Diceros bicornis minor: one gene and its partners. The protein of the gene in region 1 interacts with the protein of each later gene in a pairwise test. Links are inferred from orthologs where the notes say so. Each region holds a gene or a part of one and is shown on either strand. Other genes may lie near its edges.

What was found.
Region 2: the proteins of NUPR1 (region 1) and PTMA interact in binary tests that used the Homo sapiens proteins (3 or more experiments, as listed by UniProt). The link is inferred for Diceros bicornis minor from reciprocal best matches to the Homo sapiens genes NUPR1 and PTMA.
Region 3: the proteins of NUPR1 (region 1) and KNSTRN interact in a two-hybrid assay, tested with the Homo sapiens proteins (2 studies listed by BioGRID and IntAct). The link is inferred for Diceros bicornis minor from reciprocal best matches to the Homo sapiens genes NUPR1 and KNSTRN.

The regions. Positions count from the first base shown.
Region 1 is NC_080765.1:22,008,475-22,015,605, reverse strand, and holds NUPR1 (nuclear protein 1), read right to left. Parts: upstream 2,775-7,131; 5' UTR 1,974-2,774; coding exon 1,859-1,973; intron 1,429-1,858; coding exon 1,292-1,428; 3' UTR 1,279-1,291; intron 943-1,278; 3' UTR 517-942; downstream 1-516. UniProt on the Homo sapiens protein: Transcription regulator that converts stress signals into a program of gene expression that empowers cells with resistance to the stress induced by a change in their microenvironment.
Region 2 is NC_080776.1:20,082,636-20,090,490, forward strand, and holds the start of PTMA (prothymosin alpha), read left to right. Parts: upstream 1-4,845; 5' UTR 4,846-5,017; coding exon 5,018-5,062; intron 5,063-7,833; coding exon 7,834-7,855.
Region 3 is NC_080744.1:38,259,127-38,266,626, reverse strand, and holds the start of KNSTRN (small kinetochore-associated protein), read right to left. Parts: upstream 3,011-7,500; coding exon 2,802-3,010; intron 2,621-2,801; coding exon 2,526-2,620; intron 1-2,525. UniProt on the Homo sapiens protein: Essential component of the mitotic spindle required for faithful chromosome segregation and progression into anaphase.

The sequences.
Region 1 (7,131 bases):
TCATTACAGCAGCCAAATCTGTATCTCAATCAATATATCTTCTTAGCTTCAATCACATCTCTTTTTTGCCCCATGTTCTTCTCCAACTGTGATCCCAAGACTGATAACACTAAGTAAGAACTTCCTCCTCTCGCTGACCTCCCATAATCCTGTTCGGGCAGCTCCCCGGGCAAAGGGACCCCCCTCACACTTGAGCACTCTAAGAATCCTTGAAGTTGAGCCCTGGGTAACTTGAGCCAAGTCCCTTAATGTGTTAAATCTCAGTTTTCTCCATTTTGCAGGTGGCGCCAAGAAATAACATTCACTTCAAAAGGCAATGTTATATGAATACGACATCGTCAACAAGATTGTTCTTCCGAAAATGGAGAGGAGCTGGGGAGGGGGCTTTTTTCATGGGCAGCATTACAAAGAAACAGAGGAAATCCCGCTGCACCCCAAAAGAGACCACAGAAATGTATGCACCAAAACACACGCATACCAAAAAAAAATGCATGCTCACCTCTAGGTGCCCTACAAAATCAGGAACCGCCCCTCCCAGACACATAACCAAACACAAACACTAACAAGAAATGCTCTCACTGGCTCATGCAAATGCAGACACATGCGGGCAGAAACAGAGAGAGAGGACAAAAACCACACACAGGCTGCAGCTGCTGAATTTTGTTTATTGTCGCTGCCACCCTAGGGAGCTCCCGGGTCTTCAGCGTCTTTCTTTTTGGGGGTACCTTCATGACTCTGCCTCTCTATCCCCTGCCTCTTGCTCCCCATCTTGTCCTTTTTCTGGGGCTGGGGGCGCTTCCTTGGTGGCCCCTTGGAGCCTCAGTCAGGTGGGGTAAGTCCTGGGGGTGGGGCGGAGGGCAAGCAGGCCTGGATCCGGCCCCCAGGTGCTGATTCTTCCGAAGTCCTTTCTCCATTGCTGTGGTGTCCGTGCTCTGGCCTCATCTGGGGGAAGGAAAGCAGGTGACCAAAGGCGTAGAGGCCTGGGTTCTGACTCTGCCTCTCCCGCTCACTTGCTGTGTGACTCCAGAGAAGGAGCCTACCCTATCTGGGCCTCAGTTTTCCTCTCTGTAAACCAAATTTCCCTCTAATTGGAAAGGGTCTATGTTTCCCCTTTGCTCTGGTCACTAACAAACTCAGAGTCGAATGTATGTTTCATTTTACTCTATGTGGAAACAACAGTCCCTTGACCCCTTCTCCCCACCCAACCAGCACATTCAAGCTTGTCCCTTTCAAGGCACAGGGACCTCTGCTGTTGCTTTGGGACCCCCGACTCCCTACCTCCAGCTCTGTCTCAGGGCCGTGCCCCTCGCTTTTTTCGCTCGGTATTCTGGAGCTTGGTCACCAGCTTCCTCTCATGCCCACCAGGGCTGGGGCGGTTGGTGTGGGCAGCAGCTTCTCTCTTGGTGCGACCTTTCCGGCCTCCCACTCCTGGGAACCGAGGCAAGAGGCCAAGGTGAGGTGGGCAGAGGCATGATGCCTCAAAGGAGAGGCAGGGGGTTGGGACTTGGGGGGAAAGAGCTTGGGCTGGAGTAGGGAGACTGGGGGGTTGTCACCATAGCTTTGGGGGCAGCCGTAACCCCTGTTCCCCATCTGTGGAAGAAGGGGCCGCTGGAATGAGCTGTTGTTGCTCCAGTATTCTAGAAGTGTATGAGGCCCCAGGCTGAATAGGACAGCACTCAGTGGAGGAGGGGTTAGCAGGGGGTGATGCGAGGGATAAAGGAACAGGTTGGCTGGATAAGGGTGAAGGGTGGGGAGAAGCCCAAGGAGGGGACCTCGTTTGGGGGTGGGGGCGTCAGGCTGTTTGTGGGGGATGGGGATCAGAGTAGAAGAACCAGGAAGGTGGCAGGCCAGGCCTTACGCAGGTAAGAATGAGCCAGGCTGTAGAGGTCGTACTCATCCAAGCTGGGGTCTTCGTCCTCCGGGTCTGGGGGCTGCCGGGATGGGCTGGCTGCTTTCGGGAAGGTGGCCATCATGTCTGGCTTACTCTTGCTGTCTGTCTCTCGTCTTCTAAAGCTTTGTTTGTGTCTGGTTTCCTGACACCTCCCAGTTCACTGGCCCCAACTTATAAGGCCACGTCTCCTCCTCAGCCCACAGTCTGGCTCCAGCCCCTCAGGCCCTGTCTGATGCAATCAGGCCCTTTCCCAGAACCCGGCCCAGTAAACACCAGTCACGAGAGGGAAAAAGAGTCGTCCCGTGAGTCCCAGCCCCCCTTCCCTCCTCCTCTCACCGGGGCTCGCCCAGCTGGGTATTTTTCCACAGAGGAGATCCCCGCCCCTCAGCGGGGAGGAGGAGAGGCAGGGTCTGGGCATAAACAGTTCTGAAGATCAGGGCCAGCAGGGAACTGAGGGCCTCACTTGGCCAACTCCTTGCTGTCTGTCTCCTGCCCTCTGCAACGTGCCCCTCCTGGGCTTGGGCTCATGGCCACACAGCTGACCCCCACCCCCACCCCAATTGTGGCTCAGATTCAGGACCATGGTGGCAGAATACGGAGTGAAAAGGGAGAGGGAGAGGATATCAACACTCTATGTGCTCTGTCAGTGGTTCTCACCCCTGGGACACCCAACCCCCTCTTTTATAAGAAACATCTGGAAAGCCCCCTTAATATCCTGAACTGGGTCCCTAGGTAATTTCCTCACCTGAGAGAGAGGCTAGCAGAGTGGTTACGAGTGCAGATGCTGGAGCCAGATGCCCTGGGTTCAAACCCCTGATCCACTACTGCCTGTGTGATCCTAGGCAAGTCACCTTCCACCGCTGAGCCTCAGTTTTCTCCTCTGTAAAAACGAGGATGATAAAATTGTATCTACCTCATAGGGCCGGTGAGAGGATCAAATGAGGTAATCGTGCCTGGCCCAGCATAAGTTGCACTATGTAAGAGTTAGTCACACAGTTTCCAAACAACTCCATATAACACCCTCACTGTAATGGAAAGGAGACATAGAAGGAAATTAATTTATAATGAAATAAAATGTATTTCAAAACATGGATAGACTGAGGTAGAAAACATTATGAAGTGAATAGGTGTTTGTACCTATTTAATATGAATTAAAGGGAGGGGTTCAGATAAGAAACATGTGAAAGTAGAATTTTCCACTCTTGCCTAAGGATCTGACCCAGAGAGGCCACACCCTCGGGTGCCCACTCCTGCTTGAGCTCAGCTTGTCGTGCACCAGCCCCCGGCCCCGGCTGTCCAGATCAGGGAAGGAGGCAGACACAATAGTTCACTTTCTTATTCTTTTTTTTGGTGAGGAAGATTGTCCCTGAGCTAACGCCTGTGCCCATCTTCCTCCATTTTGTACGTGGGATGCCACCACAGCATGGCCTGTTGAGCAGTACATCGGGCTGCGCCTGGGATTCGAACCTGCGAACCTGGGCTGCCGAAGCGGAGCGCACGAACTTAACCACTATGCCACTGGGCCGGCCCCACTTTCTTTTTCTTTTTTTTTTTTTACTCTGTGGTTCCAGCACAACAGGACCTGCTCAGTGTTAATTCTCTGTTCACACTGCGACTTTGCTGTGAGCCTTTTGAAACGTGTTCCATCTCAGTGTTACCTAAACCCCATCCTTCTCCAAACCCTATAATAACCCAGTCTTGTCTTCTGTTGAACAAGAAGCAGCACTTCTGCTTGTGTTCTTCTCTAGCCTGAGCCAGAATTAAATTTAGCTTTTGTTTTCCAGATTTGGGTGATATGTGAGTTCTTTAATACCCAGTAAATGAAAGTGAAGACAGGAGGGTAGTCGAATAAGAACAGCTGGGATAATAATGACAGACCAGATGACAAGAGAAAGAGGAAAGTCACCTTAACTTAAAGATAACACACGGGGCCGGCCCGGTGGCGCAAGCGGTTAAGTGAGCACGCTCCGCTGCGGCGGCCCGGGATTTGCCGGTTCTGATCCCAGGTGCGCACTGATGCAGTGCTTGGCAAGCCATGCTGTGGCGGTGTCCCATATAAAGTGGAGGAAGATGGGCACGGATGTTAGCCCAGGGCCAGTCTTCCTCAGCAAAAAAAAAAAAAAAAGGAGGATTGGCAGATGTTAGCACAGGGCTGATCTCACAAAAAAAAGAAAGATAACGCACCACAACAAATTAAGGTGGAGAAATACAGTGTTATTGCAAAGTAGTGGGCTTTATCACTACGTGTAAAAGTAGCAAAATAATTTCCTCTATCATGACGTGGGAGAGGGTAGGTTCTAGGCTCAGCTCATTGTAAATAAGTTTTTTAGCTTCATGAACATTTAGCAGGACAGTCAAATGTCATGTAGGACATGAGGCAATTCTGTGTGCCACTGTCCTGCTCCCCCTCCCTGTCATTGTGACAACCAAGAACACTCCCACAAATTCCCGAGCTGCCCCCTAGGGGGCGGACTTTGACTCATTCACCTCTGCCACTAGGACCCCCGTTTACCGGCTGCGAGATCTTGGGCTCGCTTCTGAGTTTCCGTCTGCTCATCTGTAAAGGGAAGATGGTGACAGTACCCGATGTGTGAAAGGGCTTTGTCCAGAGCCCAGCATGTGGTGTACTATTTCCCCTATTCTTCAAAGAAGGAAAACTGAGGCTCAGAGAGCGACCAAGATCACACAGCTGGTGTGAGAAGGATTCCTCCCACGGTCTACCTGACCCTGGTTCCAGGGCTCGTACTGTCTGCACAGCTGGCAAACACTGGCAAAGGCTGGGTAGCTCTGTGTGTGGAAGCACCTCTCAGAGAGTTGTCCCTCCCTCCCTGCCTCCTTGTCCCCTCCTTCCTTCCTCCCAAACAGTGAGTGCCTGCTTTGGACCAGGCAGGGTGCTGAGGACACACAGAACTACACACAGTGGCGCCCTCTGGACGCTCTGCGCAATGCAGGAGGCAGATCATGAGCAGATGAGCGCACATCCCTATCCAAAATACCGTACATTCCCCCAGTTATTCTTTACCCCTTTACCCTGACGTTATTTTACTTTCTCTATAGCATTTAGTTATCACTAGTCAAAGTGTCTTTTTTATTTGTTCACGTCTCCATGATTTGTCCCCACTAGAAGGCCATCATTGGTTTGGTTTAGTTAGTGGTTAAAGGAGGAGGCTCTGCAGCCGGACTGCTTGGTTCTACTGCTTGTTAGTTGAGTGCCCTGAGACAAGCTATTTAGCCTCTCTGTGCCTCAGTTTCCTCATTTGTAAAATGAGATTAATAATAGTACCTAGTGGGATTGTTGTGAGGATTAAAAGACCAATTCTTGGGGCCGGCCTGGTGGTGCAGCGGTTAAGTTCATGCATTCCTCTTCGGTGGCCTGGAGTTCGCCAGTTTGGATCCTGTGTGCGGACCTACTCACTGCTCGTCAAGCCATGCTGAGGTGGCGTCCCATATAGAAGAGCTACAACTCTACAGCTATGATACACAGCTATGTACTGGGGCTTTGGGGAGACAAAAGAAAAAAAAAGAGGAGGGTTGGCATCGGATGTTAGCTCTGGGCTAATCCTCCTCACCAAAAAAAAAAAAAAAAGATTAAAAAAAACCCAATTCTTATAAAGGCTCAGCACGGTGCCTAGAACAGAATAAGTTTCAATAAATGTTAGCTATTATTATTATTATCATTATTCATGAGGGCAGGAATCTCGTGTGTCTTATCATTATTATTTCCCCCATGGCTGGCACACAGTGAGCACTCAATAAATGCCTAGTTGAATACATGAAGCTATGCTAAGATCGGCACTGCTTTTTCAGCTTCCAGATGCTCTGCTCTTAGGGAACTGAGGGGCCCAATCCTGCTCCCGCAGAGGACTGTGAAGACACCGTGACCATCGTCCGTGGAGCCGGGGAAGGAGGTCTCCCTGGCCTTGAGTGTGCAGGTGCTGGAAGGATAAAGCCTAGACCTTGGGGGCAGGAGTGGGCAGAGGGAGGGTGGCCAAGAGAGAAGGGACTTTTGGGAACCCATTGGCATGGACCTGTTGGGCCCAAAAGGTGACTCAATGGGAAAAGTCAAGGTGTGTTTTCCCAGTCTCTAGTCTCCAGGTGTGTGTATAATCAGCCACAAGTAAGTTTATTTTCTCGCTGCTTATGACTACACCTTCGTGACATTCCAGGAGATTGCCAGGCACACCGATTACAAGCCAGCGTGGTCAGTCTGGAGTAAACACAGGGGCTGGGGGAGCTCTCAGGAGGGTACCTAACCCAGCATGGGGGTGTGTGTGTGTGTGTGTGTGTGTGTGTGTGTGTGTGTGTGTGTGTAGGGGCTGGGCAGAGGATCAGGGCAGACTTCCCGGAGGTGGTGAATCTGAACAAGAATAACTGTGAGAAAGACAGCAAGACAAGCCCAACTCCAGGAGTTAAACCATCCAAGTCAGGAAAGCCTGGATAGCCTGAGGGATGTGCAGAAGTCTTTGGCTCAAAGGATCAGGAGCTTCCCAGGCAGGATATGTAATCAGGAGGGATTGGCGACATTGCTGTATGCCAAGGGGACTCAAGAATCCTAAATGAGGTGAAACAGGATGTGTCTGCATGACCTCATAGCCCCATGCGGAGAAACCCTCGAACCTGGCAGCTGTTTGCCGTTCTTCTTGGCTGTCTGACTTCATCCCCTTGAATATAAATGCATGCAGTCTTTTCATGGGTGATTTGGCAACATTGACAAGAATGTTAAATGCACATACTCCCTGATATTGCAGTTCTACTTACAAGAATCTCCTACAGAAATGCTCCCAGGCTTGTTTGTAGCAGTGAAAAACAGAAACGACCTAAGTGTCCTTCAATACGTGACTGATCAGCACCCTTCTGTGAAATGTTCTGTGGCCATTAGAAAGAACAAGCTATGTCTCTAGCTCTGATGAGAAAGTTGTCCATAATAAATAGTGGAATGAAAAGCAGGTTGCAGAACATTATGTATACTATAATCCTAATTTTTGCACTAAATTTATTGAAATAATATAGAAAACTGTAATACATTGTTTTCAGCATAATATAGGTGTCACACATTTCTCCTGGTAACTAAAGAAGATAGATGGCCAGATAAAACAATAGTAGAAGGATCTAGAATAATAAATTCTATTACTGGAAGTCTCCCTAGAGATCAGCAAACCCAACTCCATTTAATGGATGAGGAAGTAAGGACCAGAGAGGTAGCATTCTCCACTCTACACATGTTTAGGGCACTAACCACA
Region 2 (7,855 bases), on another chromosome or scaffold:
CTGGGAATTCTGGCCTGGCTCAGGGCACACAGACCCTCAGTGGGGGCCACTCGAGGTTCCTGTCTTGCTGGGTTCCCATGTGGGGCCGGATGGCAGGAAGGGGCAGGTGTGGAGGTGCCCAGTTAAATGCCTCCTCATGGTCACATACCAGCCACATACCCCCTTTCCTTGGGGGCAATGCTCTCGAAGGCATTCCCAGGCAGGGTGACTGGGAATGTGTCTGCACACGTGCTCCCCCCACAGCACTTTCACCTGCCACCGTGATGCTGGGCCCACACACTCACAAACAGTAACCAGAGCTTAAGCAAAACACCCACGGAGCTCGAGCTATGCAAATAGGTGCGCACACACAGATGCATGCAGGGATGAGGGGCTGGGAAATGGCGCGGGCAGGCAGAAGATTCCTGGAGACATTGCAGGGGGCACGTGCACGAGGAGCCCAGAACTGGCATCACGGCACGAGTGTGCTCAGGAAGCAGTGATGGCCGTGTACACAGCACATACACCTCCCCCAGCCTCCTGAGCTCGTCTCCAACCAGGGCATCAGTTTGGGGGCATGCCCGGAACATCAAGAGATGCTCCCCCCCTCTCCCCACCAGGCAGGAGCCTCTCGGGGCAGCCAGACCTGTGTGGTACCAGGGCCTCTGGCACAGCTCCCCAGGAGAATGGGCAGGCCCAGGCGTGCTGCACAAGGGAGCAGGCATGTTGGGGGATGGCTCTTACACAATCCCGTCCGGTCGGCAGGGCGGGAGAGTTGAAAGGCCCCTGGCAGCTCCCCAGGCCCTTACGCCTGGGCCAGGAAACCACAGCCTGAAACTCCTGGGTTTCTGAAGGGCGGGATTTTTTGAGGCCTGCTCTACTCAGGCTGCCGCCCAGACTCTGTCATTCCTCTGAGGCCAGAGGGGCTGCCAAGCATGTTGGGCATGGAATCATAGGCTTCCAGAAACTCAGCTAGGCCAGTGCCCTCATTTCCCACTGAACATGGGATGAATTTGCTGAAGACATCGTTCCTTTGTCCAGAGTCCTGCAAACAGTGTGACCCACTTAGGTACAGATGGCAACTGGAAAGGGGGGTCCCGGGAACATGGATGGTTTTCCCGGATGTGCCAGACACTATTTTAAGCACTTTCTAAAAATTAACTCGTTCAGTTCCCACTATAATCCTGGAAGGTAGGTACTATTACTGTGGTCTCCATTTTTTAGAGTGAGGAAGTAACTCACCTAATTTCACATAGCTAGTGTGTGGCAGGGCTGGAACTTGAAGCCAGGCAGCTTTACCAGCATTTATAGTCTTTCTGGTCTTTTGGGAATCAAGCAGAATTTAAGACAACCAGTTAGGAATACGGTGGAAACGGCTTAGCTGCAAGGGTTGAAAACTTAAGTGCCTACAGGGCTCAGCAGGTGAAATAAACATGTGACTCAGGACTGGCAGGGAGAGGCCTGTGGTCCAACTGGAAAGTGTGTAGACAGCCCACGCCATGTCCATATGCAAATTCCCTAAAAACAAAACTTGCCCGGAGGCCATTTGGGGCCCCTGGCTTAGACCAGTGCACTTCGGGCTGTAAACAGACCGGGGCCAAGAAATGCTGCCTTCCTGGGCCTACCAGCTTGTCTGGGGTGGGTTTGAAAGGCCTCAGAAACAGCAAAGGGCAAAAATGCCTCAATGAGTGGAAGTTAACAGGGGCCAGGAAAAACAGCCTGTTCAGAAACAGCAAAGAGGTGGGGAGTTGCCTGTCACTGGGGGAATGAGGCTCTTGGTAGCCTAAATAACTCCACCAGTTACGAGCTGAGCCATCAAATGCCACACTCTGAGGGCAAGGAGGAGGTTCAAGGAGGCCACTTCTGCTCCAGGGCTCATCTAACAACGCAGATTCCTCCATCCTAGGATTTTAGCCCCAGCCTGGTCACTGAGTTACTTGGTTACTGCAAGTCCCTTGCCATAATCCCTTGGTCTGCTTTTTTGACTTGTTAAAAGGAGAGTGATAAAATATTAGAGGTTGAACCTATAAATTTGCTGATTTTTAACCAAATTTTTTTGGTTTTGACCTACAAAAACACCAATTTTCATACGATTCAACCCTATAATTGTCCGGCCTACCTTGCAAGGTGCAGCAAATAAACGAAAATGCTTGACGTATGAGCCAGAGTCTCACTGCCACATATGCAGCAGGCACTCAGTGAGGCTAGGCAGATGTGAATGCTGGTTCCAGAACCAGGTGGATGTGAGCCCCTTCCTTATCCACTTCTAGCAAAGCCAGCTGCACGGGGACAGGGTCAGGCAAAGCAGTTCCTCGAGGGAAACTCACTTTCACCTAGCTCCTCCCCCATGTTTGCCCCTGCCCCCCCACCCCAATGGCCAGAATCCAGAATAGTCACGTATAGTTTTCAGCTGTGGACAGAGACAACTACCTAAGGCCACCATCCAGACAGGGAAGACGACTCAATCGCCTAGATGTGGCACAGACCAGGCTCTCGCCGCTACATCCGGGTTTTGTGGACTAACAATCCCCTCGAGGATAACCAGAGCTTAACGGATGCGCCGCAGGTAGAAGGCGCTCTCCTGCCCCATTTATGATGTCGCAAATCCCTCCACCTCTCGGAGAATGTGGCACAAAGGAGGGGGGTCGCGGCGGCGGGGGGCAAGAAGTCCCCTCCTCCTCTGGGGCGAAGGGCGGCCCCAGGTCCGCGGAGCAGTAAAGGCAGCGGCGGCGGGAGGGAGGAGGCCGAACAAAGAGTTGGGACGCGTGGTCCTTGGGGACACCATTGTCAGTCCCTTGGATCGGCTCGCGCCCACCCTCGGGAGAATCCCACCTCCAGCCATTGGGGCGCCTTGGGGCAGGGCGGAGACCTGGCGGACGCCTCCTCCGCCGCCGCGTAACCGGCACGGGATGGCGACCGCCGGGCAGAGGGAAGTGGTGCGGTGCCCCCGCTCTGTCCCGTATGTGCCCCATGTTCCTCCAGGCCAAAGGACAGGGACCTCGGGCTTCTCTCTGCCCAAAGGACAACTCGTTCGGGGAAGTCCTACATGCCAGCGGCCAGACTGTCAGATGGGAACAGGGATGCGAGCCTGACGCGTACAGGACAGGGACAGCAGGAGGGGGCCCAGACCCGGGTGGCGCCCCGGCACTCGTGCCTCCTCCCGGCCGGGCAGCGGAGCCCGGTCCTGGGGAGGCAGCCAGGCGAGTGCGTGGTACCCACAGGAAAGGGGAGTCTCGCGGTGGGAATGGGGGGCCCCTAACCTAGGAAAACCAAGAAGGGCGACTCAGTCTCTCCGTTCTCTTCTGATTTCAAGCTTTAATGGACTTGGCACCCGTTCCCCCTCCACGATCCCAGACTCCGGGTTTTCTCCGTTCCCAGATCGGCGGCCCCAAGAGACAGACAGCGGAATCTGCCAATGGCAGGACGCAAAGCGTCAACTTTGTGTTCGCCCGCCACTCTCAGCCAATGTGCGCTCGTTTCTCCGAAGTCCCGCCTTCCGTGTCGGGCGCCCCCTGCTGGCAACGCAGGAATGAACCGTATCCGTCGCCATCTTGTGTGTGGCACAGATATTTTTCTGGAACATCTTTCCACCTTTTCCAATTTTTCCTCCCACACAGCTGGTTTCTTAGTTCGAGAGCCGAGTGCAGTGGCGATAAGGAGGGTGTAACCTACGGTTTTCGGATCGCCTGCGTAGGTCGGATCGCCGCGTCACGCCACGCTTGCCGAGCCCAACGCCATCTTGAGTGTGGCGTTAGGATGGTTCCCTTCTCGGGGCTCCGCGTGGTTCCCCAAATGGCGCCCTGAACTTCAAGGAGCCCCCAAGGACTAGCCCAGCTGGTCTCAGAGACGGTTATTTCCCCCCAATAACCCCGCAATGTATAAGTTCGTGTGCCCCTCGCAGCCCCTTAAGTGGGGTGGGAGCGGGGCAGATTCGATGGCCGGGACCTGGAGAGAGGCTCCCTGAGGCTGTCGCGACGGCAGTCACCGACCGCTTGGGGCAGGCGCTGTCCAGAACCCTGTAGTTCAGGACCGCTGTGTGGTGCGACGCCCGCGAGCTAGGAGTCCTGCTCGAGGGCAGGAGCCCGCTCCGGCCCTCGCGCCCCCTCGATGCACGAATCCCCGAGTGTGTGTGCTTGGCACGGAGCCCGCTCGTCGGCTGGCTCAGGCGGCGGAGGCCTGGGCTGATGGTGGGCGACGGGGTCCCCTACCCAGGGACTCCGGGCGCCCGGGGCTGGACGTGGTAGGACGGGGCGGCCCAAGTACGCGGCTCTCGGCCTCGCACCCTGATCGCCCGTCTTTGGGGTTTCCGCCCACTTGCACTGGGACCACTCTCGGTCGAAGGTGCCCAGGCGCCGGGGGCGGGCATCTCCGCGGGCACTGCGCAGGGCACCGCCCGGGGCGAGCGCAGCCCAGCACCGGGCCTTCCCCTCCCCCTCGCTGGCAGCCGTCGCGAACGCCGGCCGCCGCCTCCTCTTCCCTCCCCCTCCTTCCGAGCAGTCGCGGGGAGGGGGAGGACTGGGGACTGGGCGGGTAGCTTTGCCGCGCTTTGGCTTTCTGCGTCAGCAGCCCCAGCAAAACAGCAGCGGGAGCGAGCGTCCTGAGCGCGCCCGCGCGCCCCTCCCCCCGCGGCGTCGGCGCCGCGGAGACCCGGCAAACTCAGGCCTTGAATGACAGTGCGGCCGGCGACTGCGCAGCGCGGGACGCACCAAGGCACTGCCGCTTTAAGCACGCTTGCCCATTGTTCGGAATCGAGCCAATGAGCGAGCGCCCGCTCCCTGCGCTCAGCCAATAGTATTCGGGCAAGGGAGGCCGAGCGCCGCCCACAAATCTATATTAAAGGTTCTGGCGCCGCGTGAGTTCCCCACTGGCTGCTCTGAAAAGCCATCTTTGCATTGTTCCCGTGTCCGGCTCCCCGCTCGCCGCAGCCGCCTCCGCCGCGCGCCTCCGCCGCCGCGGACTCCGGCAGCTTTGTCGCCAGAGTCCTTGAACTCTCGCTTTCTTTTTAATCCGCTGCATCGGATCACCGGCGTGCCCCATCATGTCAGACGCGGCCGTGGACACCAGCTCCGAGATCACCACCAAGGTGAGGCTGGACGCCGCCCGCCCCTTCGGGCTCCGCGCGCCGCTGCCGCCGGACCGGGGTTTTGCGCGTGGTTGCTGGGCTGCTCCGAGCCCGTTGTTACTCCTTCCCGCGGGGAGCCCACCTGCCCCCGGCCTAGGTCCCCAGGCAGCCCACTCTTTGTGTGTGCGGGGGGGGGGGGCGGGAAGCGCCAGACGAGATGCCCGTCGGGGAATGGGCCGGGCGCCCTCAGGGACTCCGGGGGGCGGGCGCGGAGGCTGAGGGGCTCGTGGGGAGGCTGCTCCAGGGCTCCCGAAACTTGTTTGTGACTGGTCTGAGCAGCGGCGGGAGGAAAGGGTCTGGGCTGGGGGTCGTCGGCCCGCGGGGCGCACGGAAATAACTTTGAAACTCGAGCGCGTTTGCAATCGGAAGTGTTGGGGGGGCGCGCGTGCGGGCGCGGGCCGGCTGCGGGAAGTGGCGGCTCCGCGGCGAGCGCCCGGCGGCGGCGCTGCTCTTTGTTCCGCGCCGGGCCGCTCTGTTTCGCGCCTTGCAGTGGGTCCGAGGAGGCTTATCTGGACTAAGCTCCGATAAGGCGGAGTGGGGTGGCGGGCCGGCCGGCCGCGACGTCGATCGTCTCCGCGGAGATGCGAAGCTTCTCTCCGCCCGGGGTGCCCTCGGGGAGGCGGGGGTGGGCGTCCTCCGGGGGAGCGCGCCGGGAGCAGCCGCCCAGCTTCAGTAGTTCACCAGCGATGCCGGGCTTGGCTGAGGAGGAGGCGAGCCCACGCGCTGAAGGAGAGGAAACGGAAAGTGAAGGAGCGGCGCGCCGGGGCGACGATGGGCGCCCCCCGCGGCTGCCCGGGAGCACCGTGTGCGCGGCTCTTCGGGGGCGCCACGGGCGAACAAAAGCTGTGGCCGTGGCTGGCCGTGGCGAGGTCGAGCCGGGCGCCGGGGGCCTGTCGGGGCTCGGTGCTGCGGGTTCATTGCCTTCGGTTTTGAGATTCTGCGCGTTTGGCGCAGCTCCTCTCCTGCGCGCCGCTTTGGTTCCGCTGCTCGCCCCGGGGAGCGTCTCCACCCTCGGCGGGAGCGCGGCACTTGGAAGTGGACCGGCTTTTTTATCCTTCGGTTCTTGTCCGCGATCCTCTCGTGTCCCTGCGGGGACGGGCGCGAGTCACCTTGGCGTCTCCTTAACCTCGGTGCTTCTGGCGTCACCTCTGGTTTTCCCCCAGGGGCGACTCCCCCGGCGGAGCGGAGCTTGCGATCTGCCTTGCCGCAGGGGCTCCCGCCGGCCCCCTCTGGGCCCAGCCCGGGAACTAGTTTGGGGAGGACGATCGGTCCTCTTATGTGCAGGCGCCCACGTTCGCTTTTTCTCCAAGGTGTTTTTCCGCTAGGGGCAATAAATCGCCCCATGGAGCGCGTCCCCGACGGTCTCCGACTGCGGGGCTGAAAAAGCCCCGCGGACTTCGGGGCGGCCTCCCGCGGGACTTTGCCCGCCAAATGCAGAGCCGCAGGCTGGCGCATCTAGGCCCGCGGGGGGGGGGGGGCGGCGGGAGGCCCGGAAAGACCGGCGCGCAACCTGCGCGCTCGGCGGAGCCTCGCGAAGCCGGCGGGCCCCGGGTCTCCAGGGTCAGGGGCGCACTCGGCGGCCCCGGGCCACGTGCTCCGCGCGCGCGGTGCGTGCCGAGGCCCGCGCGCAAAGCCCGCCGGGCGGGGGCTGTGCGCCTGCGCGCCGCGACCTCCCCGCCCCCACCCGCTCCCCGGGGCTTCGGCCGCCAGGGGGCGGGAACGGGCGGCGCTGGGGTCTGCGGCGGGCTGGCCGGCCGGGGCGAACAGGGCCGACAGGTGCCCCCCGGCCTCTCGCTGGACGGTGCCGGGCGGCCCCCCGCGCCCGGGCCGCTCGACGCCTGTTTGTGTTGGCGGCCGGCTCGGCCACGCCGGGTGGAAAAAGTTACGGAACTTAGGAGCAGCCGTGGTGGTTCTGCCCTTTGGAACGCGGGCCGTGTGCGCGCCGCGAGGTGCGGTGCGATGGCTACCCCGAGTCACCGCGGGGACGGGCGAGAGGCCGGGAGGGACATGGGGCGGTCCTGGGCGCACGTCGCCGGCGCCCATTTCCAGGCAGCAATCTGTGACCTTCTGGGACAGCTGTCGGATATGGGACATTGGTAGGATCTCGGTTTCTTCAGAGACCTACGCTTGCCGGGTCTTGGGCGCCCGTGGGCGAGGAACTCGGGCTCGGCTGCGAGGACTGGCGGGCGAGGCGGCCTCCCCAGCTCTGCCTGTTCGTTCCCGCCCAGTCCCTTCCCAGGCTGGTCCACCCCCGGGAATTCTCCCGCGGTTTCAGGGTTCTCCCTACATGACTTGGTTTATTTATGGTGTATACGTGCTGCCTTCCAAGAAGGATTTGTGGGAGGCGGAGCTCCTGTGCTTGGAAACAAGTCGGTGATAGGTGTGTGAGTGAAGTGTCCCGGGCTCGTCCGCCCGGCCAGACGGGTTTGGGACTGTGCTGCCACATGGCTTCTTTCCTCAGAAGCATGAGTATGTGGGCAGTGGGACCAGACGTAGTGGGCCCTTTTTAGTATGTTAGTGTGCTTTAAGGGTTGAAAAATCGGCTGAAATCTTGTCCATAGTCGTGCTCGGTATGCTGTGGTCCCTCCTTCTAGCGGTTCCATATGTAACGTGCGGCTCTTTCACCTGTGGCTGTCCAGGTCAGCACGGCACGTACACCTGTAGCCTTTGGGCCTCTTTGCCAGCCCTGGGTTACTTAGAAGACTTACTGGTTTACTCTTGCTTTTTTGAAGGACTTAAAGGAGAAGAAGGAAG
Region 3 (7,500 bases), on another chromosome or scaffold:
GATTATTTCACAGACCATCTCTAAACTAGCTCTTCTAGTCTTCTTACCCCTTTCCATGCTGATCACCTTTCCACCAGCCCTTTTAATTTGTTTATTCAAGGTTCCCTATTTGGCACTCTGTTCTGATCTTCCTGCTAGGCTATTGCCAGATAACCAGAGAAATGGCCCTGCCATGAAACTCCTCTTCCTCAGAGGTGAGCATTTTCCCTCTAGCCCTTACACCAGCCCTCCACTACACATACCACACCACACCCATGCGCTTTTCTAGTTGATGCTTTCACCTTGTTCATTGTAAAATGGCTTGTTTAAGCTTGACCTAAGAGCCACACAATTAAGCCCTAACAATTAAATCAGGTTGAAGAAATGAGGTCCAAAGCACTGGATCACAGGGATTAGGAAATTTTGTATTTGATAAAGATTTAATTTTGATGACTCTAGCTGCATGACAGTTTGGAATAAATATGATTTCTCAGGCTAACAAATTATTTCATTTATAGGTATACTCACCAGGCACTTGCTCCCTATTTTCCATACTCTTACCCACAAAGCAAATATTAAAAGGGTTCTTTTTGAGGTCTCTGTCTGAAGCAAAAGGTAACCTTAGGGGAATGCATGTACCTTCTCCTCTCTCAAGTATTAATAAGTTATACACAATAACAAATCTACCCCATGTAAAAAGGAGTTAATAGAAAATTGATCAAAATTAACACTCTTCATTGATCGAAGTTGGTTCCAATAATCCATATTTGCTAGAACTTAAAGACTGCATTGTAGGAAAAATTTAGCAGAATTTAACAAACACTGTCTTTTTTTTTGCATGTGTTTGTGAGGAAGATTAGCCCTGAGCTAACATCCACTGCCAATCCCCCTGTTTTTGCTGAGGAAGAGTGGCCCTGAGCTCACATCAGTGCCCATCCTCGTTCTTCGTTTACTTTATGTGGGAGGCCGCCACAGCACGGCTTGATAAGTGGTGCGTAGGTCCATGCCTGGGACCCGAACCGGCGAACCCCGGGCTGCCGAAGCGGAGGATGGGAACTTAACCACTAAGCCACAGGGCTGGCCCCGTCTTCTTAAAATGAGAAATGCAGGGGCCAGCCCAGTGGTGTAGTGGTTAAGTTCGCACGCTTTGCTTTGGCAGCACAGGGTTCGCGGGGCCAGGATCCCAGGCGCAGATCTACACACTGCTCATCAACCTATGCTGTGGCCACATCCCACATACAAAACAGAGGAAGACTGGCACAGATGTTAGCTTAGGGCCAGTCTTCCTCACCAAAAGAAAAAAAAAAGAGACCCTAGGGAGGGGAATTGGATGCCTGGTGTCAAGGAAGGCAGGAGACTTGTTTTTCCCTGCATATCATTTTCTAACTTTGGATTTTTTTTTAAATGTGCATATGTTAGTCAAAAAACTAAAACTTAAAAACAACTAACCCATGCTCAAAATCAAAATAAAAAACCTGGGATACAGCCTAAGAATGTCAAACCACTGAGGTTACATATTATCATAACTCTAAGACAGGGATAGAGAGCAAAGAGACGAAAACTTCCGACTTGGCTGGGGAGAGCCAGTCATCAGTCATACCCCCCTGACAGAGGGGCACTGCTCTCGGAGGGAAAGGCAGTGGAAGGAGACATGGATGCAATTCCCCCAGCAACTTGGAGGCCAGGATTACCATTCAGGTGTTCTCTGAGGCAACAGAAGACAAACAGAACAACCCCTGAAGGCTTCGGAGAAAAGTCTATTTACTTTACAGACCAATCCTGCTCCTGCTCATCAACCAGCTGCGTGGAGTCACCTGGGAAGGGATCTTATATAGCTGCTTCAAAATCTCCCACAACAGGCTCTGATGTTTGAAGTTTATTCTGTGCTATAATCTCTAGATTAGGCAGCTCCACAACTGAAGGCCCTAAGAGATGACTTTCAACCACAAGCCAAGTAACACAAAGCAAGATGGCAAAGCCATCAAAAATGTTTTTTAATCATGTCTCTTCTCCCAAGGTTCTGGAATACTCTAGCTAGGCCTGACCCCTCTCTCTCACTTCACTCTACCAACATTTACTGAGAATGTACTATAGAAGAGACACTGTGCATATCAAATGTGAACCACACAGTGTGAAGCCTAGCGCTTCCCCCTTAGTATCCCCTTCTCAAATGACTCTCCTCTCTTCTCCCTGACAACAAACCCAGTCCCTCCAGATAGCCCAAGTCTTGAAATAAAAGGGGTAACTGTTTAAAAAGGGATTCCTAGCTTAATGGGAATAATACTGTAGAAGAATCAGCAAGCGAAATCTAATTGGTGAATCCAGCACGGTTAGGTTTGGGGGAGGAGGGGTGCAGGGCAGGTCTAAAATCCTACCACATGGCCCTTCCCCTAACTCCCATCGTACACCTAGACAGCCCGCTTCTAGGGGAGTTAGAGGGTTGTCAGAGCCGATGAAATGCCCTCCCTCTGCCCGCGCCCCCCATTCCCGGCCTGACCGCCCCAGGCTGGTCCCCAGTGCCCGAGGAGGGCGGCGTGGATACCCACCTGCCGGCAGGCCGCCGCTCAGCACAGAGGGGGGCTGCAGGGTGTACACTGTCTTAACCACGCTGGTCATCGTAACGAGGCGGCACGGCTGGGCCCTGGAAGGTGCAAGGTGAATGTTACCCAGGGTGGGCCAAGGGGTCCGGGCAGGTGGAGGGCCCAGGGAGAGCGCGCCCCGACTCCGGGGAGGACTCGAGAGAGAGAGAAAATCCTCCATTCCCAGCCCACCTCGTCCGACCCCCACACCCAGCTCAGTCCCTCGCCCCGGGAGAGCCGAACCCAGGCGCCTGCTGCTCCTGCCTGCAGCCCTCGTCGCTCTGGTTCGGAAGATGCTCTGCAGCAACTGCCGCTCCGCCGGCCGGGTCTGCCGCCTGGGTTTCAAATAGAAACTTCCGGTGGCCGGGCGGAAGGGGGTGCGGTGCGTACCCTGTAGGCGGCCATCTTGTACTGCAGGCACTGCCGTGGGCCACGCCTTTGGGGGCTGCCATGCTGTACGAGCAGCCGAGCGAGCCGGAGCTTCTTGACGATGGGTGTCCGAGCCCCCAGCTTTGGGCGGGGGAGGGGAGTTGTGCACTTTGCCGGCCTGAATGGAGCTATGAGCCCCCGGCGTCATATTTCGGGCTTGGGACGCACTCGTGGTCACGTTTAGATCCATGTCACAATCCTTCTCTTTATTTGGTCTGTGATTGTTAGGTACATTGCATGATGCCTGATTTCCAGGAGCATAGGGTATTTGGATGGAGGAAACTACATGTTACAGGGTGGAGAGTGGCAGGTGGGGTTTGAAGAGGGCCTGTGGGCGGAAATACCTGAGGTACCTACCTGCAGTCCTGACTTTAATAACTCTTATCTAGATTTTAAGCAGAGATTCAAAGCTACTCCTAGCGAACAGAGTTCTCAGCAGTGCAGAGTTCTCAAGCACTTAATGCACTCATTCATTTCACTCAGCAAATATTTATTGAGCACCTATTGAGCACTACTCGAAGAGGGCTTATGGTGGGCGAGGCAGCAAATATCAAGACTGACCTTGGGTCTGCCCTCCTGGAATTTACAGTCTAGGAAAATAATCACACGAACTTGTCAATTACATCTCAGTTAAGCTGGGAAAAAATCCCGAATAAATATGTATCTACCAACAGTAGTAAAACTCTGAAGGAAAACTACAATGTGCTGTGAGAGAGAAAAGCAGGGAAACCTAATTTAAATTGGGGAGTCAGGGAAGACATCTGAGATGATGATTGATTAATGAAGAACGAGTGGAAGTTAATCGGATGAACAATGGGGGAGGGGGGAGAAATGCAAAGTCCCAAGGTAGGAATGGGCTTTTTTCCTAGAAGGGACTGAAAGATGGGAGGAGTGGTCTAGATAAAGTTGGAAGAAATCAAATGGCAGCCTTTGTAGGCCAAAAGTAAAGAGATTAGATTTTATCTTAAGAGTAATGGGAAGTCACTGAAGTATTAGAGCAGGACAGTGTTATTCAATTTATATTTTAAAAATCTCACTCTGGCTACTCCATGGAGAATGGATTGAAGGGGGGCAAGAGTGGCACAAGGGAGACAGTTGGGAGGTCACTGTAACCATTCAAGTGAAAGATGATGGTGGTTTGGCCATGATGGTAGTAGTGGAGATGTAGAGAAGCAGACAAATTTAAGACAGCTTTTGGAGGTAGAATCTCAGGACCCAGTGCTAGATTGGATGTGGGGGGTAAAGGGGTAAGGGAGAGGGTGATCTTAAGGACGACTCCCAGGCTTGAATAATTGTGTGGATAGAGTCACTATTTTGTCTTGGGGGGAGATTGAGAGTTCAGTTTTGAACATGGTAAGCTTGAAATGCCTCTGAGATATTCAAGTGGAGCTGTCAAGTAGGCAGCTGGAAATATAGTCTTTGAGCCCAGAGGTGAGTCTAGGTGGGAGATATTCTCTTGGGAGTCATGAGTATATGGATGTATTTAAAGCTGCGATATTGAATGAGATCATCAAAGGAAGAAGTGTACAGAGAGCCTTAGGGCCAAGGACAGGGAGAGCAGCATGTAGAAGCTGCAATGATAAGAAGGTGCCAGCCAAGAAACCTGATAAAGAGGTGCCAGAGAGGTGAGAAGAAAAAAAAATGGGTGGTATCCTAGAAGCTAAGAAGGAGGAAGTCGTAAACTGCTGAAGGAGGGAGTGGTAAACTATTGAAAATAACTGAAAGGGCAAGCAAGATCAGAACTATAAAGGATCTATTTAATTTAACAACAAAGAAGTCATTGGTGAGTACAGGAAGAGGAATTCTGGTGGAGAGGTTTGAGTGGAATCACGGTAGTACAGGTCACAGAGTACAGGAGAGATGAGGCAGCAGAGATGGCAAGTGAAGACAGAGTTTGTGAATGGAGTAGAGTAGTTGGGTGGTAACTGGAGGTGGGTTGTGGCAGTCAAAGAAGGGTTTTCTTGAAGATGCAGATACTAGTTGGTACATATGCTGAGAGGAAGAAAAGGATATTTCATGGGGAGATGGGATGATCACAGGAGCAAAGTCATAGAGAAAGGAGAAAGGAAGACGGGATCTAGAGCAGCAACTTCAAACTCTTATTCATGTACCTCCACAAAATAACTTAAAAAAACAATCATCTTACCTATTTTTAGTTGATGCCTAAATTTTTTCTTTTTCCCCAAAGCCCCAGTAGATACTTGTATGTCATCGTTGCACATCCTTCTAGTTGCTGTATGTGGGACGCCACCTCAGCATGGCCGGAGAAGCGGTGCCTTGGTGCACGCCCGGGATCCGAACCCCGGGCCACCAGTAGCGGAGCGTGCGCACTTAACCGCTAAGCCACGGGGCCGGCCCCCTAAATTTTTTCAATTTTAAATATTTGTAAAGGACATACCTTCTACCTATTATATGTTGTTCATGCTCTTTGTTTCTAAAATTCTTTTTTCTTTTAGTGTTTCATTTTGGATAATTTCTATTGCTAGCTCAAGTTCAAGTTCACTAATCTTTTTTTTCTGTAGTGTCTAAACTGTTGTTAATTCCATCCAGTGATTTTTCATCTCAGACATTTTAGTTTTCATTCACAAGTTCAATTTTGTTTTTTTTTTTTTATATCTTCCAAGTCTCTACTTAGCTATGTGAACATATGGAATACAATTATGATAACTGTTTTGATGTCCTTGCTTGCTAATTCTCACATAGGTATCAGTTCTGGGTTGGTGTCAATTGATTTTCCTCCTCACTATGGGTCATATTTTTCTGCTTCTTTGCATGACAGGTAATTTTTTTATTAGACCCCAGACATTGTGAATTTTTTACATTTTTGGGCGCTGGTTATTTTTGCATTCCTGTAAATGTTCTTGAGGTTTGTTCTGGGATGCAGTTACAATACTTAGGAACAGTTTCATCTTTTCAGGTCTTGCTTTTGAGATTTGTTACGTGGGAGCCAGCAGTGTTTAAACTAGGGCTAATGAGTTCCCACTACAGAGGCAAGCTCCTTCTGAGAACTCTAACCAATGCTCCATAAATTATCAGGTTCTCCAGTGTGGCTGATGGGAACTGGCACTGTTCCAGCCCTAGGTGACTACTGGCTACTGTTCCCTCTAGTCATTTTGGGTAGTTCCTTCCTTGGTCTCAAGTAGTTTCCTCACACTTATATGCTGAGCAGTGCTCTGCTGAATACTCCAGGGGGGCCATTTGCAGATCTCTAGAATTCTCTCTCTGTGCACCTTTCTCCTCTCAGTCAGTATTCTGTCCTGACCACTCTAGCTACCTTGGTTGCCCCAGACTCTGAGCTATCTCCTCAGCTCGGGGAGTCTGCATGGCCCTGCCTGGGTTCTGCCTCCCTGTAGTATGTCCTAGAAACTCTCTCAAGCAGTAAGCTGGGGCTGTCACAAGGCTCATCTCATTTGTTTCTTGTCCAGAAGAGATCACCGTCCTTTGTTGTCTGATGTCCAGTGTTGAAAACTGTTGTCTCATATATTTTTTTCTGTTGGGTTGGTTGTTTCAGGAAAGAAGATAAATCTCGTTCCTACTACTCCATCTTGGCTGGAAGGGGAAGTTGTATGTGTATATTAAATGTATTTTTCAGGCCGGCCCCATGGCTTAGCAGTTAAGAGCACGCGCTCCACTGCTGGCGGCCCGGGTTCGGATCCCAGGTTTGCACTGAGGCATCGCTTCTCTGGCCATGCTGAGGCCGCGTCCCACATACAGCAACTAGAAGGCTGTGCAACTATGACATACGACTATCTAATGGGGCTTTGGGGGAAAAAATAATAAAATAAAATAAATGTATTTTTCTTCAAACCATGGAGCCGCAGATTTAAATTATTCCATTCTGGGAAAATGTCCACCATATATCCTATTTGCAAAGCTAGTCCTGTCAAACCCATCAGCCAAATCAGATTGACTTTCCATCAGAAAAAGTATGATTTTGTTTTTCAATTCAAATAAGTGTGGTTATTATACAGGTTATTATCCTGTATCAACCTCTTACTTTTGAATTTGAATTCTTAAATGGAAAAGGCACAGAACTGAGCTACAGGGCTGCCCCTTTGCAACTTCTCATAAAAGCTCTCTAGGCTTTGCTGTCTCAAGGACTTCCTCAAGCAGAGCATTCTCAAGTAGTTCTTTTATTGTTTTTTTATACTGCAGAGTGAGGCGCCAGAATAGGATTCAGAATGAAGGAGGGGGTCAACTGGGAAAGTGGAGGTCAGGAAGGAGAACTGGCTGACCTAAGGCTCCTTCTTAGGCTGATCAATACGAGGAGATGGACCATATGAAGGAGGAAGCTCTGGAAATTGATTCCCTTAAAATTATCTGTATCCACCTACCTTCTAGAAAGTGTTCATGTTCCTGTGGGAATGCAAGCCCTAGTTTGAAAGCCTCTGATGCAAAGTGTGTGAAGCCATTGATGGAGCCATTACTGCTTCCTTCATTTTAATAGAAGGGATGGGGAGAGAAGCAGGCAGGAGCAGAGATAGGTAAGTTAGGGACTTGATGCCTTGAAAGT